2 linked regions of the Mus musculus genome follow. The protein of the gene in region 1 purifies or fractionates together with the protein of each later gene. This does not show direct contact. Links are inferred from orthologs where the notes say so. Each region holds a gene or a part of one and is shown on either strand. Other genes may lie near its edges. The genes, in order: Rbm28 and Rexo4.

The links.
Region 2: the proteins of Rbm28 (region 1) and Rexo4 purify together in Homo sapiens (affinity purification with mass spectrometry; 3 studies listed by BioGRID and IntAct, with this or other methods). This does not show direct contact. The link is inferred for Mus musculus from reciprocal best matches to the Homo sapiens genes RBM28 and REXO4.

The regions. Positions count from the first base shown.
Region 1 is NC_000072.6:29,130,486-29,145,875, forward strand, and holds part of Rbm28 (RNA-binding protein 28), read right to left. Parts: intron 13,179-15,390; coding exon 13,069-13,178; intron 9,142-13,068; coding exon 9,068-9,141; intron 8,154-9,067; coding exon 8,018-8,153; intron 7,159-8,017; coding exon 7,094-7,158; intron 5,082-7,093; coding exon 4,923-5,081; intron 1,292-4,922; coding exon 1,142-1,291; intron 857-1,141; coding exon 782-856; intron 1-781. UniProt on the Homo sapiens protein: Nucleolar component of the spliceosomal ribonucleoprotein complexes.
Region 2 is NC_000068.7:26,946,622-26,962,011, forward strand, and holds the end of Rexo4 (RNA exonuclease 4), read right to left. Parts: intron 14,120-15,390; coding exon 13,982-14,119; intron 13,797-13,981; coding exon 13,603-13,796; intron 11,947-13,602; coding exon 11,858-11,946; intron 9,743-11,857; coding exon 9,668-9,742; intron 8,949-9,667; coding exon 8,874-8,948; intron 7,976-8,873; coding exon 7,856-7,975; 3' UTR 6,942-7,855; downstream 1-6,941. Other genes in the region: serine/threonine kinase-like domain-containing protein STKLD1, read left to right, coding at 1-106, 402-518, 623-706, 2,691-2,807, 3,404-3,544, 3,933-4,061, 4,799-4,927, 5,001-5,129 and 3 more.

The sequences.
Region 1 (15,390 bases):
GCAATGGTATATGCGCTCATGTAAGCACGTCCCTCTTTGTGTGAGGAATGCGGATGTTATTAACCCACTTATAAACTGAGGTTCAGAGAAGGAACTTGCCAGGGAAAGTAGCTAAGAAAGGAGAGCTTACAGCTCCTGATCTTCCTTCTCCCTACACAAGTTGAAAATGGTCTAAAACTAGCAGCTGTGCTGAGACTGGAGGATTTTGAGTTCAAGGCAAGGTTGAACAAAACAGGGAGACGCTGTCTCAGATGATGATGGGGATTCTGGAACTCAGCCTCTGTCACTTGTCTTGACATGGCCCACACACTGTGCAGAAACTCATGTAGATCACAATATTGGTTTGCTTTTCTTCCCCTTTCCTTCTCCTATGCAGCACTCAGGAGAGGGACAGCAAAGAAAAAAACCACCAGAGAGAGTCTTAGGAAACGGAGTAAACTCCTACTTGGCAGAAGCACAAAGTGGAAAAGAGGACGTTTAATTAAGCCCCTGAAAAAAAAAAAGGCTGGGCATGAAGGCACACACCTTTAGTCCCAGTTGAGGCAGAGGGATCTCTGTGAGTTCTGAGTTAGTCAGAGCTAGAGACAAGGGCCAGGAAGATGGCTCAGCAAGTAAAGGCACTTGCCACCAAGTCTGATGGCCCCAGGATACACATGCTAGAAAGAGAGAACCGAGTTCCCCAAGTTGTCTTCTGACCTCTAGAATCCATGGCACAGGTCCATAGGCACACACGGACACAGACAGACACACGACAAAACCAAACCCAATTTAGGTTCCATACCAGGCTGCGTTGGATCCTCAGCTCCTTCACTTTAAGTTTCCTTCGGTCTTCTAAAGAGAACTCCACTATGGGTCTCTGGGAGGAAGAAAACGCCATTCCTAAGACTTTACAGTCTGTGAGGGCAGTGGGCCCAGGTGCTCCTCTGCCCGCTTCTCCTTCTGTCAGCTTTGAGGCTGTTTCTCATGTCTTCTCCAAAGGCCAGTTCTGCAGGCAGTGTGCCCAGTCTCGCTCTTCAGGAGCCTCTCACCCAGATTCACCATCTCTTGTCCCCACCTCCACCCTGCCCACCCGGTGCTCCTTCCCACCACTCACATGTCAGGGACTCTGGGAAAACAGGTCTCTCTGAAGCAGGAGACTCACCTTTTGGGACCCAAAGATCTCTGGGTTGTTGTTGAAGTGGCGGAGGGCTCTGAGGGCATGCTCATGCTTTTGGAACTCTGCAAAGGCATAGCCCAGGGACTGACCCTTCATTTTCCCATGAACTCCTTTAAGGTCCCGCATGACTCTACACTATGGATAGAAAAAGAAAGAAAAGAAAAACAAAACAGTAGTTATGAATAAGAAATAATGTATTTGTTTGCCCAGAGAAAAATGTATTTGTTGCAGTAAATCTCCAACCCAAATATGCCCCAGCAATGAAAACACAACTCAATTAATATGAAATACATGCTGTGCACTTAGGTTGGGCAGATCTACTGCTACACTGCCATCTTCCACATCTAAGGGTCTCACAGATGTGGAAGATGGTAGTGTGGTGGTAGATCTGCCCACCTATGAACTTGCCCTTTAGAACTTGCGGTTTCTCCAGGCCACGGGCTTCTGCTCCGCCTTCCCTCTTCCCATCCCCCTCTGCCTCTGCGTCCTCTCTCTCTGAAACCTCCTTCTTCTCCCAACTTTCCACTCCACCTTCCTCTTTTTCTGCCCAATCTTCAGCTCTCCTTTGTTTTACAAATTAAGGTGGGAAGCAGGTTTACAAGAAACCACCTGAGTGTTGACTCATTCCGTGTTCACAGCTACTCACAGGAGAATGGAATTAACATCAAATATAATTAGCCCCAGGGCTATCCAAAACATGTATTTTATTTTTTAAGATTTATTTTGTATTTTTTAAAATCTTATGTGTAGGTGTATGGCCATGTGTATGCATGTGCACCTGAATGCAGTGCTCATGGAATCTACAAGAGGGCAACAGATTCTCTGAAACTGGTCCTGTGTAAGAGCAGTATGTACTTAACCACTAAGCCATCTCTTCAATGCCCTGAGAAAAATCTGTAATACTTCACTGTTCATAATGCATGTAATGAGAGGTGCGTGACTCTTCAGCGTCTCAGCATGTTACTGCTGAGAACAGAGAACTGTCCAAAGACTCGATCCCTGAAGGAAGGAAATTAATGGAGACGGGAGGAAAGAAAACCTGATGGTTTTAGACTTAAAAAACATGTCCTGACATGGGATAAGCCTCAGAATACAGGCAGCTTCAGCTGTTCGGGGTTAGAGTCAGAAACTCTTTGATGCACTTTTTTCTCTAAATGCCAGGATACCGTAAATATCCTTAGGGTCATGAGGAGCACAGAAAATAATTTGAGAAAATACACCACTTATACAATATTACTGCCTGGAGCAGCATGCTGTTCTTCTGTAGCGGAGGAGTCTAAGTATGAAAGCCACAAGCATAGTACAACGGCTCCGTGCATAGATCCTACTCTGTCCACTGCAGAGGAGAAGAAAGAATTCCTGACTTCAATACGCTCACTCGCTTAAAATATCATTCAAGACATCTCACAAATGAAGGACATAAGGGGAAAATAAAATGCTTTTGTCATGATTCCTGGGGAGACGGAAACTAACATCTACTACCCAAGACAGGAACCAAAGATGTCCGTCTTTTGTCAAGGCAACACCAAAGCCAGCTGCCGAGCCAGACTTTACCGGGGTGACTTACAGAAGCAGAAAGGACTCAAAGACAGCTCCACCACCAGAAGCCCACGAGCTGAGCTCACACGCTGAGCGCCTGCAGTTCACTGCACAGCCTGAAGGCAGCTCAACAGGTCAGTGTCTTTTCTGGGTAGCTCAATGGTCTGGGCTTATCAGGTCTCAGCCTCTCCCCAGGAGCTTGGCTGCTGGGCCTCTTCTAGGCTTCAGCCTGTTTGAGAGTCCGTCTTAGCAGTCCCTACCGCTTATATATGCTTGAGGAGTAAGAGGTCTAGAGTATCCAGTCAGGCTCAGAAATGTCCTGAGCCTTTCTAAGCTTACCAACCCACCTTCCTCCAAGATGGAGGCTTTATCTTAGAGGAAATAGTTACACAACCAAAACATAGACTGTACAATGTAGAAGTGCGCTAAACTGTAATGAGTTCAAAATGGGCATACATTAAATACTGTGGGTACTCACCACTAACTGTGGTGTCAGACACGCTCTGACACATTACTGTTCTCTCATGCTATTTCCTCAATACCAAGGAATATGTTAAAGAGGCCTCAGGGTACTAGGCATACAGTTTACAGCTATAAAACAGCAAAGCACACCTACAATATTGGCAATGGCATTTTTAAATGTAAAGATGAACAGATTATGCCAAGTATCTCCAGGATTGGGGATAATGAGATACTATCTATCCTCAAAGAGCTCAGCTTGTCTGGAGAAACCACCAAGTCTGAGGCCAGTATAGAGGTTAACAAACGGTAAGGCCTTCAAAAGAGACAGAGCTGAACTGAATGCTAGTGTGAACTCATAGTCTTCTAACTCAACTGAAGACATGCACAGTCAACATGAAGACTGTGCTTACGGCGGAGTAATATTGAACACACAGTCAATGCTACCGTAGGAGCTAGGGGAAAGGCACAGGGGCACAGTGCTTGCCCTGTGTGATGGTTTGTATATGCTGGGCCCAGGGAGTGGCACTACTGAGGTGTGGCCTTGTTGGAGTAGGTATGTCACTGTGGGCGTGGGCTTTAATAACCTAGTCCTAGCTGCCTGGAAGCAGCCTTCAGATGAAGTTGTAGAACTCTCAGCTCTGCCTGCACCATGCCTGCCTGGATGCTGCCATGTTCCCTCCTTGATGATAATGGACTGAACCTCTGAACCTGTAAGCCAGCCCCAATTAAATGTTGTCCTTTATAAGACTTGGTCATGGTGTCTGTTCACAGCATTAGAACCCTAACTTAATGTCTTAAGTAGGAGAACCTGAGTTCAGATTCCGAGAACCAATGTAAAAGAACCACTAGGCATGGTGGTGTCTGTAGTCTCAGTGGCCCTGTGGTGGGATAAGGAGCTTCTGTAGAAACAGAAGCTCTAAGAACAGTAAGCATGGCTGTGCAGGGAACCAGAGCCTGACTCCAGGGGGACCGTGAGGACTGTCCTGACATCTCCGTGTGTGCCCTGCATGTGCTCTGTGTACTTCCTCTCTCCTCCCTCTCCCTATTTTCTTCCCTTTTCTCCTCTCCTTGTCCTTCCCCCCCTTCCTCTCCCTCCCTTTCCCTTTCTTTCAAATATATGCATGTGTATGCACGCAAACACACACACACACACCCCACCCCTCTTTTAGGAACCAAACCATATAAATTGTATTCTCTGCAACAAACTTTGCATTATATTATTTATATAAATCTGACCACACAGCAGGTATTGAATAAATGCTTGCTAAATTAATTCATGACAGAGTTCCTCACATTTTGCTGTAATTTAGTCAGATATGAAAGACAGTCCTCTGCTGGGCGGTGGTGGCGCACACCTTTAATCCTGGCAGTTGGAAGGCAGAGGCAGGTGGATTTCTGAGTTCAAGGCCAGCCTGGTCTACAGAGTGAGTTCCAGGACAGCCAGGGCTACATAGAGAAACCCTGTCTTGAAAAACCAAACAACAACAACAACAACAAACAAAAACAAACAAACAAAAAACCAAAAAGAAAGAAAGAAAGGAAGGAAGGAAGGAAGGAAGGAAGGAAGAAAGGAAGAAAGGAAGGAAGGAAGGAAGGAAGGAAGAAAGAAAGAAAGAAAGAAAGAAAGAAAGAAAGAAAGAAAGAAAGAAAGAAAGAAAGAAAGACAGACAGACAGTTCCCAGAAGAAAACCTGTTGACTTGCTGGCACCACAGCCTGAAATGAATGCTCGTGCCTGAAGGCTGTGCATGGCAAGGCATCACTCACCTCCTTAATTCGAACCCCCTTCTCTCCTCGAGTGGCCTCCAGCAGCAGCTTCCTTAGCTGTTTATCGTCCACAGCCTTTGGGAGATTGTGCAGGCAAAGCCTGGTCTGCGAGACAAAGATATTCTGGTTCTTGAGTTTCTGATGTTTCAGTAGCTCAAACTGGGAGAAGAGAAAAAGACAAGCTCTTAACATACAGCACATCTGTTAGGCAGGCTCCGAACTGTCCAAAAGAAGAGAATCGTAACCCCATCCCATGGCCACAGTGCGCCTGCCTGCCTGCTGCCTTACAGTACCCAGCAGAGAGAAAAGCAGGCCCAGGGAGGCGAATGGTCATGAACTCCAGAGTCAGAGCTGAACCAAAAAGTCATCCATTTGGAGAAATCAAATGACATTTTAAGATTCAATTTTTCATCTATAAAAGTGGAACTACAGGTCAATATTCAACTCTCGGCATGGACATGAGGCCAAATGAGATTAAAAACAACAAGCTGGGCAGTGGTAGCGCACGTCTTTAATCCCAGCACTTGGGAGGCAGAGGTAGGTGGATCTCAAGAGTTTGAGGCCAGCCTGGTCTACAGAGTGAGTTCCAGGACAGCCAGGGCTACACAGAGAAACCCTGTCTCAAAAAACCAAAACCAAAAAACAAACAAACAAAGCAACAACAAAAACCCCACATAGCTCAAAATGTGCCCAGCACAAATTTGTTTTTGTTTTTTCAAGGCAGGGATTCTCTGTACAGCCCTGGCTATCCTAGAACTCGCTCTGTAGACCAGGCTGGCCTCCAACTCAGAGATCCACCTGCCTCTGCCTCTGCCTCCCAGTGCTGGGACTAAGGGTATGCACCACCACTGCCCGGCTTGGCACAGCTATTCTTGTAAGTAATACTGAAGTTAGTGTTTATGCTCAGTCCTCAGCCACTCAGCAACGGGGATTTCTAGTGCCTCCTTCCTAGAGTTAGCTTATTTTTTATAATGCACGGAAATAATCCAGTAACCTATGGCTAGCAAAATTAGTTCTAAAACTCAGTATATCTTATTGCACTGCTTCCCCAAATACCATGATATCCAGATATTCAATACTTTAAAAAAATTTTTTAAATACTACTATAAAAACCCTATGCTGAGAAGACATTTGTTTCCACCGATCAATATAGCATATTTGCTGCTTGCCATCTCCTGAACATTAAGGTTCCATAGTTGTTCCCTTCTTGGCTGGCTTTTTACCCTTTAATTATCTTATTTTCCTATAAGGTGTGTGTCTGTGTGTTATTCTGTACACACTGTGCATGTGCTGGAGGTCAAAGGATAACTTTAGAGGCTGGATTCTCTCCACTGTAGGTTCTAGGGATCAACTCAGGTCAACTAGGCTTGTGCAGTAAGCACTTTTACCCACTGAGCCACCCCACTGGCTCTAGGCTGCCTTTTTAAAGGAAAACTGCATAAGCTAGGATAGAGCCCAGCTGGTAAAGTGTCTGCCTAGCACACACGGCATCTGGAGTTTAAACTTCGCACCATGGATACTGGCATGGTGGAGTGGGCCTGTAATCCCAGTACTCAGGAGATAGATGGAGGAGGATTAGAAATTCAGGAATATTAGGCTACACATTGAGGTCTGCCTGAGCTACATGGAACTATCTCAAAACAACAAAAGTAAGCAACTACTGCAAACACTGCTAAGCAGCAAAGGTGTCAGTTAACAGTAGAAACACCTATAATAGGAAGTTGTTCCACATAATTGTATTAATTTAGAGATACAATCCCTCCGAATGGCATCTTGGCTACTCTTTCTGAAACCCATCTCCTAAACATTGAGGCTCCTCTTGTTCCTAGTAAGCCTGCCTACTCAGCTTCCATCCTGTTGTTTTCCATTTATGATAACAATTATACACAGGCCCTCTCTCTCCACACCTACTGAGTGAGCTAGCGGCAGTTCCTCAGAACACACACATGCGTACTACAGAAACAGAGAGCAAGACTGAGCTCAGACAACAGGACGGAATGCTGACACAACAGCAAGAGTACTGTCCAGTCATTTCTCCTTTACCTATGTGCTTCTAACATGGTAAAGTGTGGTCCTTATACGTGGCTCTTCAGGAGCACTGTGGCAGCAGTGATTGTTTCTGACTCACTTACATAACCATGAGAGCTAAGGCTGGTGCCTCATCTACTCACCCGCTCGCGTTTGGCCATATCTGCGGCACTCACACCCTCAGCAGCCTTCGTCCCAGCGCGGATCACTGCAGAAAGAGGGAAAAGGGCCAAGATGTCACCAAGGGAATGTTCACTGAGCAATAGGAAGAATGTGATTTGAATGATGCAAACCCTTTGTACTAGACCCTAAGGACTGTGTTGGCCAGTTAGTTAGGTCCGAAAATAGCTACAAGGCTAAGTTCTAGACTTAGACTTGCTCTAAAGACAAACTGAACATTTTGTAATCTTGTTCCTCTCTGCCTCCAAAAAGCATCACATTCATGCTGCAAGTTAGACAGCAAGGCGTGGAAGAAGCTCTAAGTGCAGCTAGAATATAGAATGTTCCACCAACAAGCTGCCCCTGAAACTGAGGTGCTCACGTATGTGGCTGTCAATCACTCAGCAATTAATTAGATGAGCCAAAACAGAGAACAGAATTATGGTCTCAGAGGCTTTGGATCCAAAAGCTGACAGCCTAAATTTACTACCTGGAACTATGCATCTACGCAGGAGTAGGCTGATAAATACTTACAGCTATTAAACATTTAAAAATCTATCAATAATCAAAAAAAAAGTCACTTTAATTGTATTTTTCAGCCACTTAAAAACAAAAACACCTCATCAGAAACGAAGACAAAAGCAAGTAACTTAGGAGTTTTCTTCCTTGTGCTTCCAATCCTGCTACGTAGATAATCGGAGGCAACCAGACAGCAGAGAGTGAGACTGCTCAGCCTGCAAGAATGGGTGACGGTTCCTAACAAAGCCGCATCTACTCAAGTGGAACAGCAATAAAACACTGTTTTATTTGGAAATTTGGGTTTTATATTTGAAACACAATTGCTGGTTCGCGCTCAGGTCATGGGTGGGTACTCAGAGGCCTGGTTCCTATCTTCTTCTGATACTCACAGCCTTCTCTGGCCAGATAGAGGTTCCGGGTTCCAGTTGGCTTCTTCACCTTCTTTGTCTGAAGCTTTGCTGCCTCATCCCGGGTCACAGCTAAGTCGACCTTGAGCTGTCGGCCGTCCAGTTTAAGCCCACCACCCTGAAACATATTGCAACCTTCTCTTCAAACAGGGAGCAAGCAGAAAGTAAGCAGATAGCATGGAAGAGCAAGAAAAGGGACTCAGCACACTGTCACTGTGCCGTGGAGGCCAGGCCCCAGGCCGCATCTGCCTGGCCAGCTACACGTGGGTCCTTGAGGCTCAAAGGTGGTTTTACAATTGTACAAAAGGTCACATCTGTATGTACTGAAGAGCATCAGCAGTAAGGAATTTACTTTACAGTAGCTCAGTCCCAAAGTAGGCCTAAACTGAGGAAATTGTTCTGTAAACATGTTTAGTATTCTAAAGCTTGTGTAAGAATATTTAAGAGACAAGGACAACACAGGATAACATCTCAGAAACTGAATGCTTCATTTAAAAAGCACAGAAAGATTCTCAGTATCTACACTACCTCTACCAGACACTCAGACAGGTTCACAGACAGCATTGATACCTTCTTCCAGTCTTCATGTTATTAGTGTAGAATAGAGGCTGATACATAGGCAACAATCAATGAACACTAGAAATATCAAATTTGTTTCTCACTTAAGAAATATGGAGCCGGGCGTGGTGGTGCACACCTTTAATCCCAGCACTTGGGAGGCAGAGGCAGGCGGATTTCTGAGTTCGAGGCCAGCCTGGTCTACAAAGTGAGTTCCAGGACAGCCAAGGCTACACAGAGGAACCCTGTCTCGAAAAAAAAAAAAGAAAAGAAAAAAAGAAATATGGGCAGCTGCAATCATCTCAAAGCATGAATTAAGGTCACGCAGGCTAAGCTCAGTGCCTAGCGAATATTAAGTGCTCAAGTCTTCACTTTATTAAAAATACATAATAATAAAAACCTGGTGCAGACATCAGCTCTTGCCTACAGAAGCTGCCGTGTTCTAGGCACAGGGGAAGGACATGCTTTCCTTACCTCAGCCTCTAGAGAGGCCGCTGCAAGACATTTCTGAGCTGCTTCCTGAGTCATGAATTGTGCGAATGCACAACCTGTACAAAGATACAAAATGTAGTAAGATACACCCTCGCTTCCACAGTGAGCAAAGGACAACACTGAAAACACCCACAGCCTGACACAAATGGGAGGGGAAGCAGCACTTGGGGAACAGGTACCATGTTAAGTGCTGAGGGATCATAGCCAGATACTGTAGCATACACAGCCTTTCCTGGCAATTGGTCCCAACTATCTCCTTAATGATACTCACAGGAAATGATAAAGAAATCCAGCCAACCACTTAATTCAACATCATGGGGTGCCTAGTAGAACCCTGGAAGATGAGCTAGAAATATTTAATCCTGAAATTAATTATATTTCATAGTCTTAAGATGCCTGAGGCATCAAATAATGGTAGATTCATCTCTTGGGGTAAAAGAGGCCTCTATTCTATGAATATTGCAGGGAAAGTCATGAGCTCAGTTGTTGGCTTATGCTCTAGAATAATTTTTAAATGGTTTTTTAAAATAATTTATTTTTATTTTGTGTTCATTGGTGTTTTGTTGCATGTATGTTTGTGAGGGTGTCAGAAATTGGAGTTACAGATGGTTGTGAGCTGAGGTGTGGGTGCTGGGAATTGAATACACACACACACACACACACACACACACACACACACACACACCACCTACTATTTTGAATGAGGAGGGACCTGGAAAAGTACATAACTTAATATTAAAGCTATGCATTTAGCTTAGGTTGCAAAACCTGACTGGGAAATTCAAGGCACAGTTAGGTTTGTGACATGTTCTCTTTAAAGCAGTTAAGCTTAAAGAGGCTGAGTATACAGTAGGATAAATGGCTAAGTACATGGTTCTAAATGATCTCAAGGCATATTGTTAACTTGATGGCAAGGCCTGGAAAAAATTCAGTCTCCTTGGGGGCAAGAGACTTTTTCATTAAAATGTGTCATCATACACACACCCCTATGAAACATAAAATAGTTACATTGTTCATAGAGAATGGAAAGGCCATACAAGTTCAATATGGACCACTTTCTCCCCAAGTGCTTTTGCTTTGTGTGTGGTTGACTCCACTGATGTGTAGTCCATGGGTTCCAAGGCTGAACTGTGTGTGTTTCTTCTTCTATCTCTGTTAGTGGTCTGTGCTGTCGTAGGTGGTTCAGATTCCTTAAGTCTTTCATATTTGTGGAAGATGCTACCTGGTTAGTATGTGAATAACAGATGGGAGGTTGGGGACACAGAAGTAGGAACACTTGGCCCTGTGTTGGGGACTTAGAAAAGATCTCTCTAGATGGTGACTCCTGAGTTAGCCTACTATATTAATCTATGCTTTAGATTAATCTGCCTGCATTCATTTCAGTATGCGGCAGAAGATAATATCCTAGCTCTGGGAGATATGGTAGTCTTATATGAGAGAATTCTTTTTGAGTTTTGAGGTGTAAATATATTATGAAATAGACACCATTGCTCTCTTCAGACACACCAGAAGATGGCATCAGATCCCATTACAGATGGTTGTGAGCCACCATGCAATTGCTAGGAATTGAACTCAGGACCTCTGGAAGAGCAGTCTTAACTCTTAACTGCTGAGCCATCTCTCCAGCCCAGAGTGGAAGCAATCTTAGACAACAAATATAAACACTGAAAGCAACAGGTAGACATGGGCTGGTAACATCTGTTACTATAGCTCCTGTTGCTATACTGGGTCTGCTGGAAATAGTATTCCTGTCAAAGATTTCTATAAAGATCCCTCATTGCTTCCCCATACCATGCTTTCTGTACTGTTCAATTAGTATGAGGCAAAGTCCTTTATTAGGGACAGACAGTAGACACAAGACAAGTGGACAATTCAAATCAGGCTTACACTAAGCCCAACTAATCCAAGAGGAAGTTGCTTTATTTTTGTTCCTTAATACATATACGATCTAGAGATGAAAGTGTATGGAAGGTATGCATAGGTTATATGCAAACACTGTGCCATTTTATATAAAGAACTCGAGTACTCGCAAATTTTGGTATTTGCCATGGTCTTGAACAAGACCCAGTGGGTACTGAAGGACAAGTGTAATGAAAGAAATAAAGGATGAAGAGGTAAAAGATTTCTAACAGGCAGATTGCCTAGTCATCCCATAGCAAGAAAATCAGGCCAGGTATGGTGGTGAACACCTTTAATCGCAGCACTCAGGAAGTAGAGGCAAGCAGATTTCTGTGAGTTACAGGACAGCCTGGTCTACACAGTGAGACCCTGTCTGAAAAGAAAAGAAAATAGAAGGGGGGAGTGGGAAGGGGAGGGAGAGGGAGAGGGAGAGGGAGAGGGAGAGGGAGAGGGAGAGGGAGAGGGAGAGGGAGAGTCCACAGTATAAGGAAATCACTGTCTCAGAATCAGTGCTGGCTGGTTCAGTCTCAGCATCTCCCTAAGGTCATGGATCACGGTAGTTCTAGGCAGTAAAAAGGCTTGCTAAGAGAAACAAACTGTCAAGGAACACAGAAAAAGTATCAGAAAATTCCAGCAAGTTAGAGCCAGCAAATGACAGAACATTGAAAAAAATTAAAATTATGGTTTTAAAATGATTAACTATCAAGACTGAGGGAACAGAAAAGACGTCCAGCAAATCACTTGTCGGCTACATTGTAGAAGTGTTAATCTAAGAGATAAAAGTGAAATAGTGCCGCGCCCGCACTCTGGGTGTTCTAAGAGATTCTAGTTGTCCATTCCAGAAAAACAAACCAGAACTGAAAAAGGTCCTGAGGTGTGACCATCAGAGCTGAGGACATTTTATTACCCTAGTCACTTACCAGGCAAATAAGCCGAGCTCTCAGTGAGCCAATGTCCCTACCTCCAGGGAGCTGTTCAGTACTGCCTACATTATTTTAACTGAGTAAAGGTAAAATTGACCAAGTCTTATCTAATCAATTCCTATCAGTTGAAAAGTAAGGTTTAGAATGGAAGTTCTTAACCACGGATAAACTCTTGAGAAGCCACAAGGCCTCAGACACAGCGTTTTTCTGAGGAAAGGGCTCACAGCCCTGCTAGGGAGTCAGTGAACGATGACCTCAAGGCTTATGATGGTTTACCTCCCTGTGACTTGGCTGGGCAGAGAACCACCCCGGAGACCGAAGCCACACCCTCTAGGTATATTTGTGAGTATGTTTCCAAAAGGAGCAAGGGGAAAGATCTTCCCTAAAGGTGGGTGGTACTTCATGGTCTAGGGGCGTGGGCAAAATCAAGGATGCGGTGAGAGCAGACCGTTAGCACCAGCCACCCTTTCTCGACTTCTTGGCCCAGCATGAAGATGAGCGGCTCTGCCTGTGCTCCCATCAGAACAGACTTCATGCTCTGAGATGGGAGCAGAGTAAGCCATGCTTTCTTTATGTCAGGATAAAGCAAACACAGAGTAATGGGAAGCTTAAACAGAACGGCTGCAGTCCATGGGGTAAGAGCTTAGAAACAGGCTAATGCGATCTATGTGTATCTGTTCACACACTAATACTCAGCCCTGTGCTAGAATGAGTGCTGATCCCTCAAGAGTAACAAGCACTATGAGGATAATATTCCCGCACCACTCCTATACATAGTTTCCCTCTGACTGCTGCCATGCAACAAAGTTTCTGTCAGTTTCTATCTCTAACAAAAGCATCAAAGAAAAAAGTTCCCTATTAATTCTGAGCAATGTAGAATGATTAATGCCCATGAGATGCTATCACATTTGAAATGCAAAGGAGAACAACAAATAGAATTCATTTTCTTAAAGTAAGTAAGCAAGAGCTTTAAAGGCTGAGACAAAATTAAGGCTGGCAAAGCCATTAAATTGCTGAATTCCACGTCACGAAGGACAATCTCAAAATGTCCTTGGGCTTTTAATGGAAGCCAAGCCAGAGACAGAACAGACTGTGTACCGACCAGAACGGCATGGTTTATGCTCTTTCCTGATGTCGGGCCTGGTCAGCCGAGGGCAGTACCTTTAGAATGCTCTGTGTCTGGATGCAAGACAACTCGGACATACTTAAGATCCCCAAACTGTTGGAGGACCTCGCCAAGTGCCTCTTCTTCTGAGTCAAATGAAAGATTTCTGTGGAAGAAAAACAGGTCACACGAATTTCAGTGACAAAGCAAGACCTTGAGTTTTGATCTGAGGTATATGAATTAGACATCGACAAATGATGTCTGCCTTGTTCACATCCATTCTCCCTTCTTCAAAATAGCAGTAGCACACAAGAGCGGCCCCTAGTGGCTAAGCCTTGGTCTATCAGTCTGGCCCTATGTCCCAACCTTCCTATATCAGATTCTGTCACTTGAAAATTTAAAATTTAATAGACAAAAAAAAAGCCAAAAAAACTAAAAGCTGCAGATATAGATACATTAACTTCGAAACTGAAGTGTCACAGATACTGGAATGATACAGATATGCTATAGCATGACCTGATAATCATGTGGCTATATAAATGAAAACTTTGCTTAGCTGTACCCTTAAAGTAATACACTTTACAGAAATACCTTGTGCCTTCATTTTTTTTTTTTAAAGATGGCATCCTAGAGAAAAGACCCACAACCTCCAGCAGCGGGAATCTAAATTTCCCAGACTTTCACTGCCTACTCAAGATTTGCATCTAGACAACACCGATTCTGTGAACAAACCAGTATTCATCCAGTCTGTTCTCTTTCACTCACTGGGGCTGAAATTAGTTTTTCTTATTACAACCAGAAGTTTTCACGGGAGTCTGGTAAGAAACATGTTTTTCTTTTATTGAATTAGACATATTCCCCGCCATGTTTATATGAAATCTGGATCTCAGTTAAAATTTTCTAACGAGGGCAAAATCTTTCAAAATAACGCAAAAGAAAAACATGTTAAGATGACTAGGTCACGGTGAGATGACTAGGCAAACGGGAAGGGAGAAGGGGAGAGAGAAAGGGGGAAGGGAAAAGGAAAGAGCAGGAACCATACATTGAATATCCTTAATCTGAGAAGCTAAAGCTTTTTGTGTATTTTTAAAATGTTTAGTATGCATATACATGCATGTGCACCATGAAATGCATGTGATGATTACAGGACAATTTGTAGGAATCTAGTTCTCTCCTTCCAGCATGTAAATCCTGAATATCAAACTCAGGTTGTCAGGCTGTGTCAAGCCTTTTCGTACCAAGCCATCTCACTCAGCAGTCTGCCTACAATTTAGTAAACTAACCTGACCTAGAAAATGCAGTAGGACCTAACTCCACTCTGTATATTCCCCTGGAAACAAAAGGCGTATCTTTCTGTATTCTGGACATGACTTTAAAAGAGAAGCTAGAGGCTAGCTGGGATGTAGCTCAGTTGGCAGAGTGCTTGCTGGTGTCTTAGTTTGCTTTTTATTGCTGTGATAAAGCCATGACCAAAAGCAAGCTGGTGGGGAAAGGGTTTATTACAGCTCGCCCCTGGAACTGGAGTTGCAGACTGCTGTTGAAGGTATGAGGCCAAATCTGCTTTTGGCCTACAGAATCTCCCATGCACACCCTCCTCTCCATCCAACAGTGGCTAACTGGGGAGTTTCCCCCCAAACTCCCTACATTCCTACACTTGATAAGTACATTCCATTCAGTTCTGTGTGGTTAGCAAAGCTTTCTTTTCACTTTGGGCGGTTGTACTGCTAAGATCTGGAGTCCTCCGCCTCTGAAAACCCTGTCCACAGGTTCTAGATTCTTCCTTAGGCCCACTGGGGTCTCTCTCTTGGTGACATGAGTCTGCTGTGACCCCTTTGTCCCAGAGATCTCAAGATACATACATGAAGATGCCCAGTCTCTCAACTTAGACCCACGGGCCTCCACTGGTGATAGAAATGTTTCCTGCACCAGTAAAACACATTAATAGTGCACTTTAGCTCCCAAATGCATCTCTGCTTTCCCTTCTGCTGCTCCAAGCCCTGTGCTGTGACTCTTACACTCTCTGAACAGTCCTACATGACACTGTAAGCCTCTGCAGCATTTCAGTCTTAGGAGTACTGACTGGCAGGCACTTCGTGCTCACCAGCTGCTGGGCTGCTCATGCAGCCTACCTCACCCACACCTCCCTACAGCCCACACTGCCTGAGCCTACCTCAGCAAGGATGCTACACTCCTCAGGCCCCCACTACAGGAGGTCCCCCTTCTCCTTACCCATCAACTGCCCGCCCAGCTATACTTATTTCCACGTCAGCCCTGCCACTCTGCACAGCCCAGTCTGCCCTCCAACACTCCGTAACAACCCCGTATCTTCTCTCCAGTCTCCCTAGGAACTGCAGCTTCCTGAGCCCTATGTCTGGCTC
Region 2 (15,390 bases), on another chromosome or scaffold:
AGCAACTCCTTCAAAAGCTCCTCTGTTGCGCTGAATATGCAGCGGCAGAAGGTCCCCATCTTCATCACTGACGTGCTGCTTGAAGGCAACATGGCCAACATCTTAGGTGATGGTGGGGATGCCCTGGATAGTGCTGGGAGCTGTGGTGACCGGCCTTGGCACTAGTTTCAGATGCTTGGTGTCTCTCTCCCACAACTTGGTCCTAGACCTGGTGTTTATGCATGATTAGTGAGTGGGAACAGTTTCCAGGTTCCTCCCCTGTACATAATGTATACCCTTGCTTCCAGTAGCCTGGCTCTGCCAATTTTCCCTGTTCTCATTGGTCATATCCCCTGTGTAGTTAAGACCTGCTCACTGCCCATGTTCTCCAGAGTCCTGTGTCCTTTGACTGCACGCCCTAGGCAGCTGGCTGTGTGCTTCCTTTGTGAACGACAGCAGGCACTGTGACTCAGGGATTGGCTCGCAGAGACTTGGGTTTGATTTTCAGTCAGTCTCTTGGACAGAGCACCCTCTGAAAGGTGAGGCTGAGAGCACCGACTTTGTGGCCTGATTGCTGCAAGGCTAGGGTCTGCTCCTCCACGGCTTGGTCCTCAGTTGGGCTCTCCATTCCTTCTCCCTGCAGATGTCATGCAGAATTTCTCCAGTCGACCAGAGGTCCAGCTCAGAGCCATTAACAAGTTGTTGACAATGCCAGAGGACCAGCTAGGTAAAGGTCCTGTGCCTTCCTCAGACTCCAGGAAAGGCTGGGAGGTGGCGACTGCCAACCTTTTACTACAGACTTTTCTGGCCAGGACTACTAACTGGGACTGATTGATTCTGTGCTTACTAGCAGAGGAGGGTGGGAGAGAGGCTGGCTACTCTGCATGGTTTCAACAGGTCAACAGGAAATCCATCTAGCATCAGGGAGGCCAAGGCAAGAAGATTGAGAGCTAGCCAGCCTGATCTATAGGGAGTTAAGGCTTGGGTTTTTGTTTTGTTTTGTTAAACAAACAAACAAAAAACAAAAAGAGTCTTTTGGGAGGGACATGGTGGTACGAGGGGTAGATCCTAGGACCTTGTGCAATGCTGGTTAACTGAGCTACCTCCCCAGCTCTTGTTTGTTTGTAGTTTGAGAAAGTATAAATTGCCAATGCTAGTAGTCTCAAACTCGATGTGTGGTCCAAAAAGTCCTTGAACTTGTGACCCTTCCGCCTCAGAAGTACCTGCAACTACAAGCATGCACCATCACACCTGCCCCATCATCTCTGTAGTGGGCATCTGAGTTGCTTCTTGTTTTCTACTTTTATAAACAGCATTACGACTGATCACCTGGCATACCAGCCACTTGGCATTCTGCCTGTATGTGCCTGTCAGATGTACATTTGGATATCAGAGTGTGAACACTACATACCATCTGTCGTAGAGTTTCCATTGCTGTAAAGACACACCATGATCAAAGCAACTCTGATAAAGGACATTTAATTGGGGCTGGCTTACAGGTTCTGAGGTTCAGCCCATTATCATCATAGGAGGAAGCATGGCAGTGTCCAGGCAGGCATGGTGCAGGAGGAGCTGAGAGTTCCACTTCTTGTTCTAAAGGCAAACAGAAGACTATCTTCCAGACAACCAGGAGGAGGGTCTCAAAGCCCATCCCCACAGTGACACGCTTCTTCCAAAAAGGCCACACCTCCTAATAGTGCACTTCCTGGGCCAAGCATATTTAAACCACCACACCAACCTTCATAGGCATACCAACCTGGCCCCCTACCAGATTGCTTGAGAACAGCTCTTTCCCAGCATTGCTTTCGATGGGTATTAAGCTTCTTGGGAAATTCTGCAAACGTGCTTTCCTGTCTCTCCTGCTCAAATATCACACCTGTATGGCATCCATATACTCTTTCCTTCCTGAAACCTTTCATCTCTTCACCCACTCACCTTATCCATTCCTGTTTACATACCTGCCCAATTATGTACCTATTCATACAGAAAACACATCCAAAGGGCACCAAAGATCTGTCCCGGTGGCTAGGGCAGTGGAGATTACTAGAAGACTGAGATGACCCCTAACGAGTTAACAGGTCCCTCATATTGGCCATTACTCTCCCAAAGTCCCTTTTATAGCTGAACTGTGACAAAGATAAAGTCCAGGACAAGGTAGATTTGCCTTTTGGGGAAATGGGCTATAATGCCCAACAGTGGGCCTCACCCACCACCCAGAGCTGCCTCTTGCTCAGCCTCATCAGAGTGGGTTTGCTGTAGCTGTTTCCTGGGAACCAGTAAGATCCTTAGCACAATCCAAGTCTCAGCTCAGTCGCAGCCACAGGCCCTGGAGTCACACAGTCAGGCTGAGTTTACACAGCTCTGCAGTGCCTAATGCTCATCACTGCCTCTCAGCTTTGTTCTGAAAGTGAGGGCTGAAAACAGAGACCTGTTTCATGAGGCTGCTCCAAGTAAATGCCTTGGCAGAGCTGGGCACGGTGTCATGTACCTGTGGTCTGTTACTCTGGAGGCTGAGGCGCAGGAACTCCAAATTAGCCTGGACAACCCAGAAGGTAGACCTTGGCAGATGATCAACTGCTCGTATTCTATGAACACGTGTGCTGGTCACCCTTCTCTGCCCTTGGGTTCACCCACCTGGATCCTCTGGGTATCATGTCTGGGTCACACAGTCCAGCTCCTCCTGTGCTCCCCCTATGCTGTGTACTCCACAGGGCTGCCATGGCCCACAGAGCTGCTGGAAGAGGTGATCAGCATCATAAAGCAGCATGGGCGGATCCTGGATATTCTGCTCAGCACCTGCTCCCTTCTGCTGCGTGTTCTTGGCCAAGGTGGGCAGGGTAGAGGAGCTCTTCCCTCCCAGACCCTCTGTCTCTTCAGTTCCTTCAACTTCCCACCCATCCCTAGCATCTGCCTCTCCAGTCTGTTGTTCCCTTTTGTGCCTATGTGACTCCATCTCAGAGTGAGAGAGGGCATAGTTGAGTCTGTATATACTGGGTCTACATGGGGCCCGATGCAGCCTGCTGGGACCCTGGACAAGTTCCCCAGCTATGACACAGGAGTTAGATAGGTTGGTCTTCTGGGCTTTCTTGACCAGGAAAGGTTTGGAGGATGTGGTTGCCAGCAGGGGACAGCACTACACTGAAGAACTTACCTAGTGCCATCTTTAAGCCTGGAGCACCTCGTTACCCTTTTACCTTTCCAGTCTTAATACTGAGCCTAACCTCCACACAGACTAGGTCTTTTTCTCAGGGCTGTGTGTCGAATCCAGGTCCTCTTGCATGCCAGGCAATCACTGTACCACTGGGCAAGAGCCCATAAACACTTTAATTCCAAGAGGTGATGTTATTCCCAGTGAGGGAGGACACCTTTCCATCTTAGAGCCCTAGCTGTGGGTTGACTGATGTTCTTTCCTTGGCCCAATCAGCACTGGCAAAGGACCCAGAAGCTGAGATCCCAAGGAGCAGTTTGATCATCTCCTTCCTGATGGATACCTTGCGGAGCCATCCTAACTCTGAAAGGCTTGTTAATGTGGTCTACAACGTGCTTGCCATTATTTCCAGCCAAGGTGTGTTGGCCTTTTGCTCTGTTTCTGCTCTAAAAAGCCAGGGACAGAATAGAGGCCTTGGGAGATGGGCAGGAGAGGGGCCCATGCCCAAGATGGATAGCCACGCTGTTCTCTGTTCTGAGTGGCAGCCATGGGCACTGCTTGGAAACTCGGGACAGTGGCCAAGAATTGAATGGCTGGCTAGCTGGTCAAGTCAAGGCTAGGCACTGGGCCACTTAGACTTCTTCCCCACCCACACTGAGCCCACTTGGGCGAGAGGGGTATTAGGCTTAGGCATTAAAGTAGACCAGCCAGGCAGACTAGGTATTGCATCAGCCCACTGAGAAAAGGTAGTGCTGGGGAAGGCTTCTTGGAAACTTCCCCTCCAAGTGTTTATGGCTGCCTACAGGACAGATCTCAGAAGAGCTGGAAGAGGAGGGGTTGTTTCAGCTTGCCCAAGAGAACCTGGAGCACTTCCAAGAGGACAGGGACATCTGCCTCTCTATCCTGAGCCTGCTCTGGTCCCTCCTGGTAGATGGTGAGGCACTCCTGCATAAGCCCCACTACATGAGATCTACTAGAGCCGTTTTCAACCTGTGGATCTTGACCCCACAGGCATAACCCTTTTATAGGGGCTGCCTAAGACTATCAGGAAACACAGATATTTACATTATAGTCCATAATAGTAGCAAAATTACAGTTATGAAGTAGCAACAAAAATAATTTTATGGTTGGGGGTCACTACAACATGAAGTGTACCAGCTGTCGTGAAGAACAGGTTAAGAACTGCAGCTCTCTATCTTCCTTAAGCATAGGAGGGCAATCCTAGGCCCCATGGCTCAAAGAGGGCACAGTGAGACACTAGTGGGCTAAGTTAGAACACCTTGTCCAATGAGTAGGCTGCCCCTGACTCCAGAGGTCACTAGAGCATTTGAGGCCCTATCCTGGTTTGGGTTTTGAATGGGGGTTTCTAGGCCTGACCTTCTCTTCTAGATATTATCTTGCCAAGGAAAGAGAGCTCCAAGCCATGCCAACCCCAAAGTACCACAGAAATCCTGCTAATGCCACTAATGCTGAAAGTCCCCATCTCTATTGATGACTCTACTGCAAACTCTGGCAGTGGAAAGCCCCATTTTCCATCTCTGAGGACATCTCCCTCATGTCCACTTGATTCTCTGTTGTTCTGGTGGGAGGGAACAGTGTAGAGGGGCACACAGACAGCTGGTGCTGCTGTTCATACCTGGCCTGGTGTCCCCATCTTTGTCCTGGGTCTAGTTGTCACTGTGGACAAAGAGCCCTTGGAGCAGCTCTCTGGCATGGTCACCTGGGTGCTGGCTACTCATCCGGAGGACGTGGAAATAGCAGAGGCTGGCTGTGCGGTGCTCTGGCTGCTGTCCTTGTTGGGTGAGTAGCCCGAGGCCTTGGTAACAGGGAGGGTGACCCTGGACACACAGACAACAAGGCTTGTTCTTTGTAGGCTGCATAAAGGAGAGTCAGTTTGAGCAGGTGGTAGTGCTGCTCCTGAGAAGCATCCAGCTGTGCCCTGGCAGAGTACTGCTGGTGAACAATGCATTCCGTGGCTTGGCCAGCCTCGCAAAGGTGTCCGGTAAGTCTGGGACAAGTCAAGCTGCCAGCTGGGGGTGGAACAAAAGCCAGCTCCCTCCAATGATGTTCACCTGGTGACCCCACACTAGAACAGGAAGAAATAGCTTCCAGGAAACACCACTGGGACTTGTCCACGTTTGGTGTCTTATGTCTACCCCCCACCCCCACTATATACACATCCTATAGCCACATGAGTCTCCTACATATCAGTCCATCTCCAAGTTCAAGCTTATGCCAGGTCTCATACTAAGCACTGGCAGTCTTTCTTTGTAGAGAACCCTGGGCCCAGGGGCAGGCCATGGTCCCGAGCAGCATATGGTAGGAATGCTCCCACTCCACCCGGGTCCTTCAGGGCTCCCAGGGCTGTCTCCTTGCTTTCACTCCTGCTCATTTCTACTCATGACAGTCGACTGGGCTACTCAAACTGGTGGGGTCTCCTGAAGGGCACTTGGGAATCTTATTTCCTCTTGACACCCTTAAACAAAGTACCTTGTAAGGGAGGTTTCAGTCTCCTGTTGCAGGGTGAGAGGGCCACCTGCACAGGAGCCCCTTCTCCACAGCACCACACCGAGGCCTCCATTCCATTTCTTGCAGGGAAGAGGAACATAAGCACTGTATTTCCCCTGGGCGTGGCGCTCATTGCCAACAAGTGCAGAGCTGCAGAGAAGCCAAGTATTGCAAACACCTCTTACCATTTACAGAGCAGGGGACAGCCCTGACTTAGGAGCTTCCTTTACAGAAAGCTAGGGCTCCTGGCAGAAGAGCTCTCCCAGCAACCCTACAACCAGTCATGCTACTTCCCGGGGACACTGAGTACAGGGAGCTGAGAAATAAGGGTGGCTGCAAAGGAGCTATACTGGACTATATTATACACACAAATCTCCTTGCCTCCCTACTCCAGAACTGGTGGCCTTCCGAATAGTAGTACTGGAAGAGGGCAGCAGCGGCCTCCACCTCATCCAAGATATCTACAAGCTCTACAAGGATGACCCTGAGGTGGTGGAGAACCTCTGCATGCTGTTGGCCCATCTGACCTCCTACAGTGAGGACCCTTACCTTGTCCTCTCTGTGGCAGGAAGGGAAGGAGCCCCAGAGCCTGGTCTCAAACCCCTGTACCTTGCCACTTATCTACTCTGAGTCAGTGGCACCGTAACTGGCTGGTGAGCGGGTATCCTTAGCCTCACCATCTTCTCTGCTCCCCTGCAGAGGAGATCCTGCCAGAGATGGAGTCTGGAGGCATCAAAGACCTAGTCCAGGTGATCCGGGGGCGCTTTACCTCCAGCCTGGTAAGTGATGATGACACCTTGTATCGAGCCAGAACCCTTGCACTGCACTGACTCATAGCTCCACATGATGCCTTTCCCTGTGACTGGGCTGAATCCAATCCCAAATGGGAAGTGCAGCCAGACCACCTGAAAGATCCCATCAGTAGGATTTATGTCGTCAAAGTAATTGCTCCCGGATCTTGAGGCCACTGTAGCAAATGGTTCTCGTTTCCTCCTTCCAGGAGCTGATTTCTTACGCTGATGAGATACTCCAGGTACTGGAAGCAAATGCACAACCTGGCCTCCAGGAGGATCAGCTTGAGCCTCCTGCAGGGCAGGAAGCCCCACTGCAGGGAGAGCCCCTCTTCAGGCCCTGACATGCTGCCCTTCTGGTCCTGTGGTAAGAGAAAGTATCACTAGGTCCAGTATTAATTTCGTACCCCATGGTGACTAATAAAAGAAGCCCTAGGCTGTTTCTGGCATGCCTGGCCTGCTGTCAGTGGTCCTGCCTTGATGATGGGAAAAAACATGAACTTCCACACACTCCATTTGATCCATCCATTTATTTTTGACAGTTCTAGGAAAGGATACCAGGGTCTTACACTTAGTGAACAAGTGTCCTCTGAGCCACACCTCAGTCCACAGCTGCATTAAAAGCAGACATCTGTCATCATATGCATGGGTGCACATGTTCTAGGAGTTGTCAGCTAAGTCCATAAAGTTCACTGGTCACTCTGCAATTGCTGCTACCCAGAACAGCTGCTGGCAGGACAGTGGGAAGATGGCCTTTCTGCTTACACTGTTCCACATGGTAGGCTCTCAGACCTCTGAGTGTACCTGTGCCCCAAGGCTCACCCCAAGGACTCTCTGGAGAAAACATGGCGGGGCATTGGCATCTTAGGCCAAGCAAAGGACAAAGGAGTGGGAAAGGACCTCCAGCCCAGTAGCTTTAAGAAAGTCCTCAATGGGCGGTTGCTGTGCTGGCCAGACTGGTTTGCAGCAGACTGAACGCCCTTAGCCTGGATCCCTTGGATCCAGCAGAGCTTATCCCCTTACCTGACAGAGAAGGCGCTTCTTGCTCCTTAAGGGAAGGTGCTGAGTGCCCTGGCTGAGACCAGCTATGCTCATTGTTAAGTGGTAGCACAGGTGGTCAGCAGACATAGACTCTGCAGCACTCTCCTCCATTCCAATGATGTTCTCCTTCCTCGAACCTACACCCCTGACTTCTGCCCTGTATCTGACCAGTCTACCTCAACACACAGGTGCTGGATGATTAGGCCCTGGGTAGTTCAGGAGGAAGTTCCCGCAGCTCACATGCCTGCAGCCATGGCTCTGAGAAAGCTCACCAAAGACAGAGTCCCTGCTGTGCATAGACCTGACAGGCCTCATAACCCCATCCCAACTGCCACTGGATTGAGAAGTCTCTGACGGACAGGGTGGTGGCGACAGCAGTAGGATGGTGCTAAGAGTTCTTGATGCGGTGCTGTGGAGTGGCAGCTGGGGCACGCCGGTTTGCAGTACTGCTCTCCCATTCCCGTTTCACCATGACGTAAAGCCTCATTGCTGCCTGGGCATCCTGGATCTGGGTGACAGACAGTAATGTTCCACCAGCCAGCTAGTGAGAACACAGGACTACAGCCACAGAAGTAACCCTACAACTACTGAGTCTTCATGACAGCCACACTACTGAGGCTGCAAAGCCAAGACAGACACACACACACACACACACACACCCCTCTCTCTCTCTCCCTGGGTGACTATGGAAGGGCAGTGAAGGAGAAAACCATACAAAATGGTCAGGGCACCACTTTTAGCAGAATCTGAATCTAACTTCCTGTGCTTCAAACTCAGCCACTCTGTTTACAGGGGCAGAAAGGGAGGCCCCACAGCAGGAGGAAGCTGGAGCTTCACAGCAGACAACAGCTGAGACAGGCAGAAGGGTTCAAAGAGTCAGAGGCTACAGCACAGGGGAACCTGTTCTCCTGAAGCACACTGCCTGGCCAGGAGGACCTGTTAGGACCGAGAACCTCAAATCATACAGTCCTAAAGCTCCTTTGCTAGGGTTTGGAAAGGTTCCACCCTCACGCAGGAGCCTAGTGTGGCAATGAAGGGGAGTGGGACCTTTCAGAGCTGGGTCTAGTGGGAGGTCAAATGGCACCAGTCAGTTCTGCCAAGAGTGACCTGTTTCTCCTTCCTCCTTGGCCTCTCTCCAATCAGCTAAGCCTCATTACCATGAAGTCCCCACCTCAGGTATTATTACTCAATAACTGGAAGTATACAAACAGCCTTCAATTAGACTGGTGAATTTTGTCCAAATCCTTACTCTATATTATTCTTTGTATTGAGTTCAAGTGAAATGTAAATATGTAAGATATAACAACATTCTGTAAGCCTGCTCTGCCTAGGGTCCTTTCCTGTTTCTATGGTCAAATGAACCATAGGTGTTAAAAAGTCAGGGGCTGTAACCCAATGATACTCACTGAGCAGTGCTCGGCCTGTTGGACCCTGATCCCCAGAATTTTCTCAGAAAGCCGTTTCAGAGACGGTCGTCCACTCTGTAGAGAAAAGAATTCCACTGAATGTGTTGCTTCCACAGGTTGTGCCCACAGAGGACACAGCTGGCGCCTGAGCACACTCGAGTGACCCGCACTCTCCCTTTCACCAGGAGTATGTGGCACTTACGGCTGCAACCATCAGCCTGCTATGGCTTATGACATTGCTCATCAGCTAGTAGAGGAAGAGCTGGGGCTGGCAATATTCCAAGTGGTAGAGTGCTTTTAATTATTTTAGTTTTTTTAAAGGTAGGGTTTCTCCTTGTAGACCAGGCTGGCTTCAAACTCAAGAGATCCGCCTATCTTTACTTCCTTAGTGCTGGGATTAAAGGTGTGATCCACTACACCTGGCTTAATTTTTTTAAGTTCTTTTTAGTTATATATAGGTATGTCTGGCTGCATGTTGGCATGTGCACATAATTGCAGGGCCTGAGAAGGTCAGAGTTCCTGGTACTGGAGTTACAGGGATTGTGAGTAACCTGACGTTGAGTGCTGAGAATTGAACTCAGGTCCTTTGCAAGAGTACCGAGTACCACTGAGCCATATCTGAGGACAACCTCTCCTGCCTTCATGGGAGTTCCAGGGATCAAAATCAGGTTGCCAGACTTCAGTGACAAGTACTCTTAAAGGTTAAAGTGAGAAACCAAAACAAACTAGATCCCTTTAGCCAGAGGGGTCAGTGCCAGGGGCTACTCACGGCCCAAGACTCATTCATTCCGTACCTTTACTCGACTCCTGAATGGTTTGAATTTCTGAGTGTCCCTGATTTTCTTTTTTGGATGGTCAAGGAACAAAACCTACAAGAAAATGACAAGTATCTCCATTCAGTTTGTAACAATGCGTCTCACAGGGCTGGCACCGCTGGGTGCTAACACTCAGGAAGAAGCAGTCTCGCAAGGTCATTTCCCTGACTTAAGGCGATGCCCAATATTCAGAACCATGTTAATAAAAATAAAATCTTGAACAGGTGTGCTGCATACTTTTAATCCTAGCACTCTAGAGATAGATGCAGGTAGATCTCTTGTGAGTTCAAGGCAAGCCAGGACTATACAGTGAGACCCTGTCTCAAAAAAGAAAAATAGGGGCTGGTGAGATGGCTCAGTGGTGTAGAGCACTGCCTGCTCTTCCAGAGGTCCTGAGTTCAAATCCCAGCAACCACATGGTGGCTCATAACCACATGAAATGAGATCTGATGCCCTCTTCTGGTGTGTCTGAAGACAGCTACAGTGTACTTAATCATAATAAATAAATAAATAAATAAATAAATAAATGAAAAATAAACAAAATCTTGACATCAACGATGTTGCGAAAAAGTCAACCTGCAGCTGACTTCTCTGAGCTGGTTGTTCACATGGGGGAGCAAGACGTGAGATCTAACAGCTCACCCCGCAATGTAACACACTTCTAGACTCATACGGTCCAAAAAAGTGACCCACTAGAGGAGGCAGGTGTGGCCCTGGTGGCAGTCTTCTCCAAGGTGACTCATCATATCAGTGAGCAGTTGACTTTGGTTAATTTTTAATTGTTGGAACATTTGTTATTTTCTTTTTTTGGTGCTGGGACGAAACCCTGGGCCTTTACACACGAAGCACGCATTCTGCCACTGAGCTACATACATCTCTAGCCCCAAATAATTGAATGAGAATTAAACTCCCATCTAGAGGTTCCTGAAACACATGAATACAGTGGCACTACAGATCACATCCAGGAAGGACAAGGTCCACTGTCACATGCCCTAGCACTCGGTAGAGTCCTCTGAGCTCAGTTACCTAACTGGCTGGCTGTGGCTGGCCTCTAAAGGAGGTGACTAGCTGGAATGACACCCTGAGGAAGCACGTGCCCATTCAGTTCCCTTCCTATAGGGATAGCTGAAGCGGCAGCAACATTCAACTCAGAAACTTGGGATGCTGAGGAGCCGTGGAGAAGTCCCTGAATGCATATCCACTGCTCCCCTGGAATCTGCTCCCAACCCCCTAACACTTAGCTCTGCTACCCACAAAAGCCTATTCCTCAAAGGATTAAACAAGATCTGTTTACATTGTGTAACTCCTGGTGTACCCGGCAAGGCTCTGATGTCTGGCATTAGAATCTCTGGGGCTGGAGAGAAGGCTTAGCAGTTGAGAGCACCGGCTGCTCTGGATCCCTTCCAGAGGATCTGGGTTCAATGTCCTGAATTCATAAGGGAGCTCACAACTGTCTACAACACCAGTCCCAGGAAATCTGGCACTGTCACATAGGGTAGGCAAAACAGCAATGCACAGAAAAATAAGTAATCTTTAATCTCAGAACTCAGGAGGCAGAAAGGCAGGTGGATCTCTTGCATTCCAGGCCAGCCTGTTCTACTTAGTGAGTTCTAGGACAGCAGGGCTACAAAGAAACCTTGTCTCTGGAGTCTACCACACCAGGTGACAACAGAGGTGTCCCTTTTGCCAAGTCGACTATGCTCCCATTTTCCTGCTGCACCCTCAAATGGATTAGGCAGCAGTTTGCTTGTGAACTTAAAGTGATCCATTTAATAAACCCAGGTAGGTGGGCTTCCAGCATCGCAGCAATGCCCAGATATAAACTGGACACATAACAAGAACCCTAGGGCTCTGACAGGGTGCATAGATTTGTCTCTGGCCCTGGAGCACACAGCTAGACACCAGGCCATCTGCCATGTCAGGTAGGTGACATTCAAAACTCCCCTACTTTGAGCTGTCAATACTCTGGCACTGAAACCCCCAATGTAGTCGGGACTCCAAAAACTACCTAATGTGGTCTCTTGAACACAGCCAGACATCAGGTACCTGACACTATTCCTAGAGAAATCCCAAGTCTAGATAAAAAATCAAAATGAAAAAGCCTCCAGAGTAGTGCTTTTGGAGACAGGGATGTAAGGCTTGTGTGGCTCACATGGAAGAGCCCAGCACCTTTAAATCATTGTGTAGCGCATGCCCCACCAGGATTCTGCCCTTCAACATTTCTGCCACTTCCTTCTTCACAACTTCAAACTCTTCTCCTGAAAACCAAATGAAGAAATGATTAACAACACATAACTCACTAAGATTCTAAGGGAAGTTCCTTCCATTCCTGGCCGGACTGGTAACAACAGGTCAGGCCCTTCATGATACACAAAGCTGTGGTGGGAGGTAGGTCCCTAGAAGTGTCCATTTTTCCAGGGAAGTGGAAGGGCTAGGAGGCACCCCACTATGCCTTGTGCTCTGCTCCCACTTCTGGAGACAGTTGGAAAAAAGACAAGAACTCCACTCAAAGCCAATCACAGTCAGTGGACTGGTACCAGTTAGCAAACTACTGCTAACCTAGAAGTCCAGGAACATTTAGACTATCTCAGGGACACTTGGCAACAGGCTTCCCATTCTCATACTTATGACTTCCTAAGTAGAGTCAGACTGGATTTGCGAACCAGACAGTGCAAAGGAGGCTGCACAGACCCTAGGGTCTGCTGTGCTGCTCCTTCCCAGTTGACAGCCTTCGAGGACCACCCTGCCCCCACCTCTACTAGAATGGGCCCCAAAACTACTTCACTGCCCAGCTCTATTCAGAGCTAAAGGACCAACCTCTCTTCTGAGATAGAAAGAGAGGCTGCTAGCAAACACAGAAGTGGATGCTCACAGTCACCTAATGGATGGATCACAGGGCTCCCAATGGAGGAGCTAGAGAAAGTACCCAAGGAGCTAAAGGGATCTGCAACCCTATAGGTGGAACAACATTATGAACTAACCAGTACCCCGGAGCTCTTGACTCTAGCTGCATATGTATCAAAAGATGGCCTAGTTGGCCATCACTGGAAAGAGAGGCCCATTGGACACGCAAAATTTATATGCCCCAGTACAGGGGAACGCCAGGGCCAAAAAGGGGGAGTGGGTGGGTAGGGGAGTGGGGGTGGGTGGGTATGGGGGACTTTTGGTATAGCATTGGAAATGTAAATGAGCTAAATACCTAATAAAAAATTAAAAAAAAAAAAAAAAAAAAAAAAAAAAGAAAGAGAGGCTGGCCAGCCTACGGTTTATGGAACAACAGAGATACTATGTTAGCCATGGGTACCAGGAGAAGCAAACAGGCAGTGGGTGGTGAGGAACGGGGGAAAAAAAAACACGGTTGCATCCCTAGTGGTCTCCAGGTCTCCCTAGGAGGCAGGCTCAAGCATCCTAGATGTTCTCGCCTATTATAAATCAGACCCAGCCTCCCTCTGCTATGTTGGCTCATTTCTTCCAGCTACCTCCCTACCTAGCTCCTGCCTCAGAACCAGTCTTCTGACCCCTACCCTGTACTCAATGTCATGACCACAAGGATCCTGCTGGAGGCCTCTCTGCCATTACTGCACTAATTTCCCAAAGAGACCCTGTGATCTGTCCTCCCAGCTCCTACCATGTAGCCTACTCACTCTTCAAGATTTCCCTCCTGGTTCCTAACATGCTCCAGTTTATTCCCTACTGCCACAAGACAGAAAATAATCCAAGAGCCCAGGACACAAACAGCACAACAGCCAGGAAAGGTATCTTTCCTTTTGTATCTGCAAAGTCTGGGGAAGAGCTAAGCAGTGTCAGGACCCCTGCCATGCCATGTTCTGGAACACAGAAGGGGAAGTTGAAGAGAAACGAGTCCTGCTACCATCTCCACCACTACACTCAAATCTTATGGACATCAGTCATACCCTGCTTCAGGTTCTCAGGCCGGATCCCACTGACGGCTGTCCTGTAGTCAGTCACTGGCTCAGTTGGCTTGACGTACTTGTCATAAACACACTTCCCATACTGGTTCACGATCGACACACGGGCTGCGATGCTCTCTTCCCCTTTGGGACCCACGCCTACCATCTCACAATCCAGGGCCAAGGCTTTTGTCAAGCTAGGGGAACCAAAGGCCCCAGTGTAATAGATATCACGGGCTGGGATTCTAGGCCAGTGAGCCAAGCCTCATTCTGCACCCCCATGACTGCTGGGCAGTCATGGCTCAGTGCTTGCTCCTCCTCCCATGATCCCAGCCCCAGAAGGAGTAACATTGCCAGCAGCTATGGCCCGAGCTCAGCTTACCCGCCAAAGGCTTGTTCCTTCTCCAGGGAGATGGTCCTCTTCTTCTGCCCCAGCCTCTTCCGTACCAGCATGGCTGCCTCTGGGCCTATGGCATCCTCAATATCATCTGGATCCACATCATCAAACCAGATGTCTTCCCTATGAGACAAAGATGAGAATGCCTGGCTGTGAAAAGACCCAGGACACAGATGGATGCTTCGCGAAAGGACCTCTGGCAGGATGGCTCCCCCTCTACACTCCACACTCAGTCCAGCTGAATCTGCTCTCACACATTCCTTTATTATTTGTATCCTGTTTTGCCTGCATGCACCCATGCATTATATTTATCACTTGCATGCCTGGCGCCTGATGGCCAGAAGAGGGCATGCATCATCGGATCTCTGGCACTGGAGACTTAACTCAGGTCTCTAGAGGAGCAGCCAGCACTCTTAACCCCTAAGCCACCTTTCCAGCCCTCACTACTGTTCTTTTAATTTGCAAATATATCTATTATCCAAGACTTAGGAGAACTACAGATAAAACAGAATGTGAAACAGAAGCATGTAACCTACTTCAGTATAATGACCAGGCATTTTCCAATTACACAATAGGTTTGCTACTGGTCAAGAAACACAAGCAGAGGAGTGCATGGCAGAAAGGGACCTGTGAGCCAGGCACACGCCTTTAATTCCAGCACTAGGGAGGCAGAGGCAGGCGGATTTCTGAGTTCGAGGCCAGCCTGGTCTACAAAGTGAGTTCCAGGACAGCCAAGGCTACACAGAGAAACCCTGTCTCGAAAACCAAAAAAAATTTAAAAATTTAAAAAAAGACAGGGACCTGTGCCTTGTACCCTGTGCACACTTTGGAAGCATGAGAGAGTTGATACTGGGTGCTTCATGGCTATCTGGTGAATTCCAGACATTCAGTATCTTTACTCAAAAGGTTCAACTGATGGGCCGCATGCTTCCTGCTCATTTGCTTTCTTCACTAGGATACCCTGACACCTCCTGCCACACACACAAATGCTAAAGTAAAATGCCTGTGTGTCTTTCCTGCTTATATCAGCCTTAGGAGGGAGGGGCCTTGTAGTCTCTCCAATCCAGCCTGCTTATATAACTCAGCAGAAGCAGTTAAACTCACGTCCCTTTACCCTTCAGCAGCTGAATCTTGTAGCCTGTCATGGGCTCACTTAGCTTGATCTGACACAACTCTCATAAACACACTTCCCATACCAGTTCCCAAAGAAATGTTCTCCTTCCCCTTTGCCCGCACCCTCCACTGTATAATCCCAGACCAAGGTTTTCTTTAGGTTTAAGGGAAGGCAGGAAAATCCTAGGCAGCAGGAAGCCAACCTGCCTTATAAGCATATCCCATCCAGGCTAGGTGTTATCACAGTGCTCATTAAGCAGGCAAAAGACACTAAGCAACAC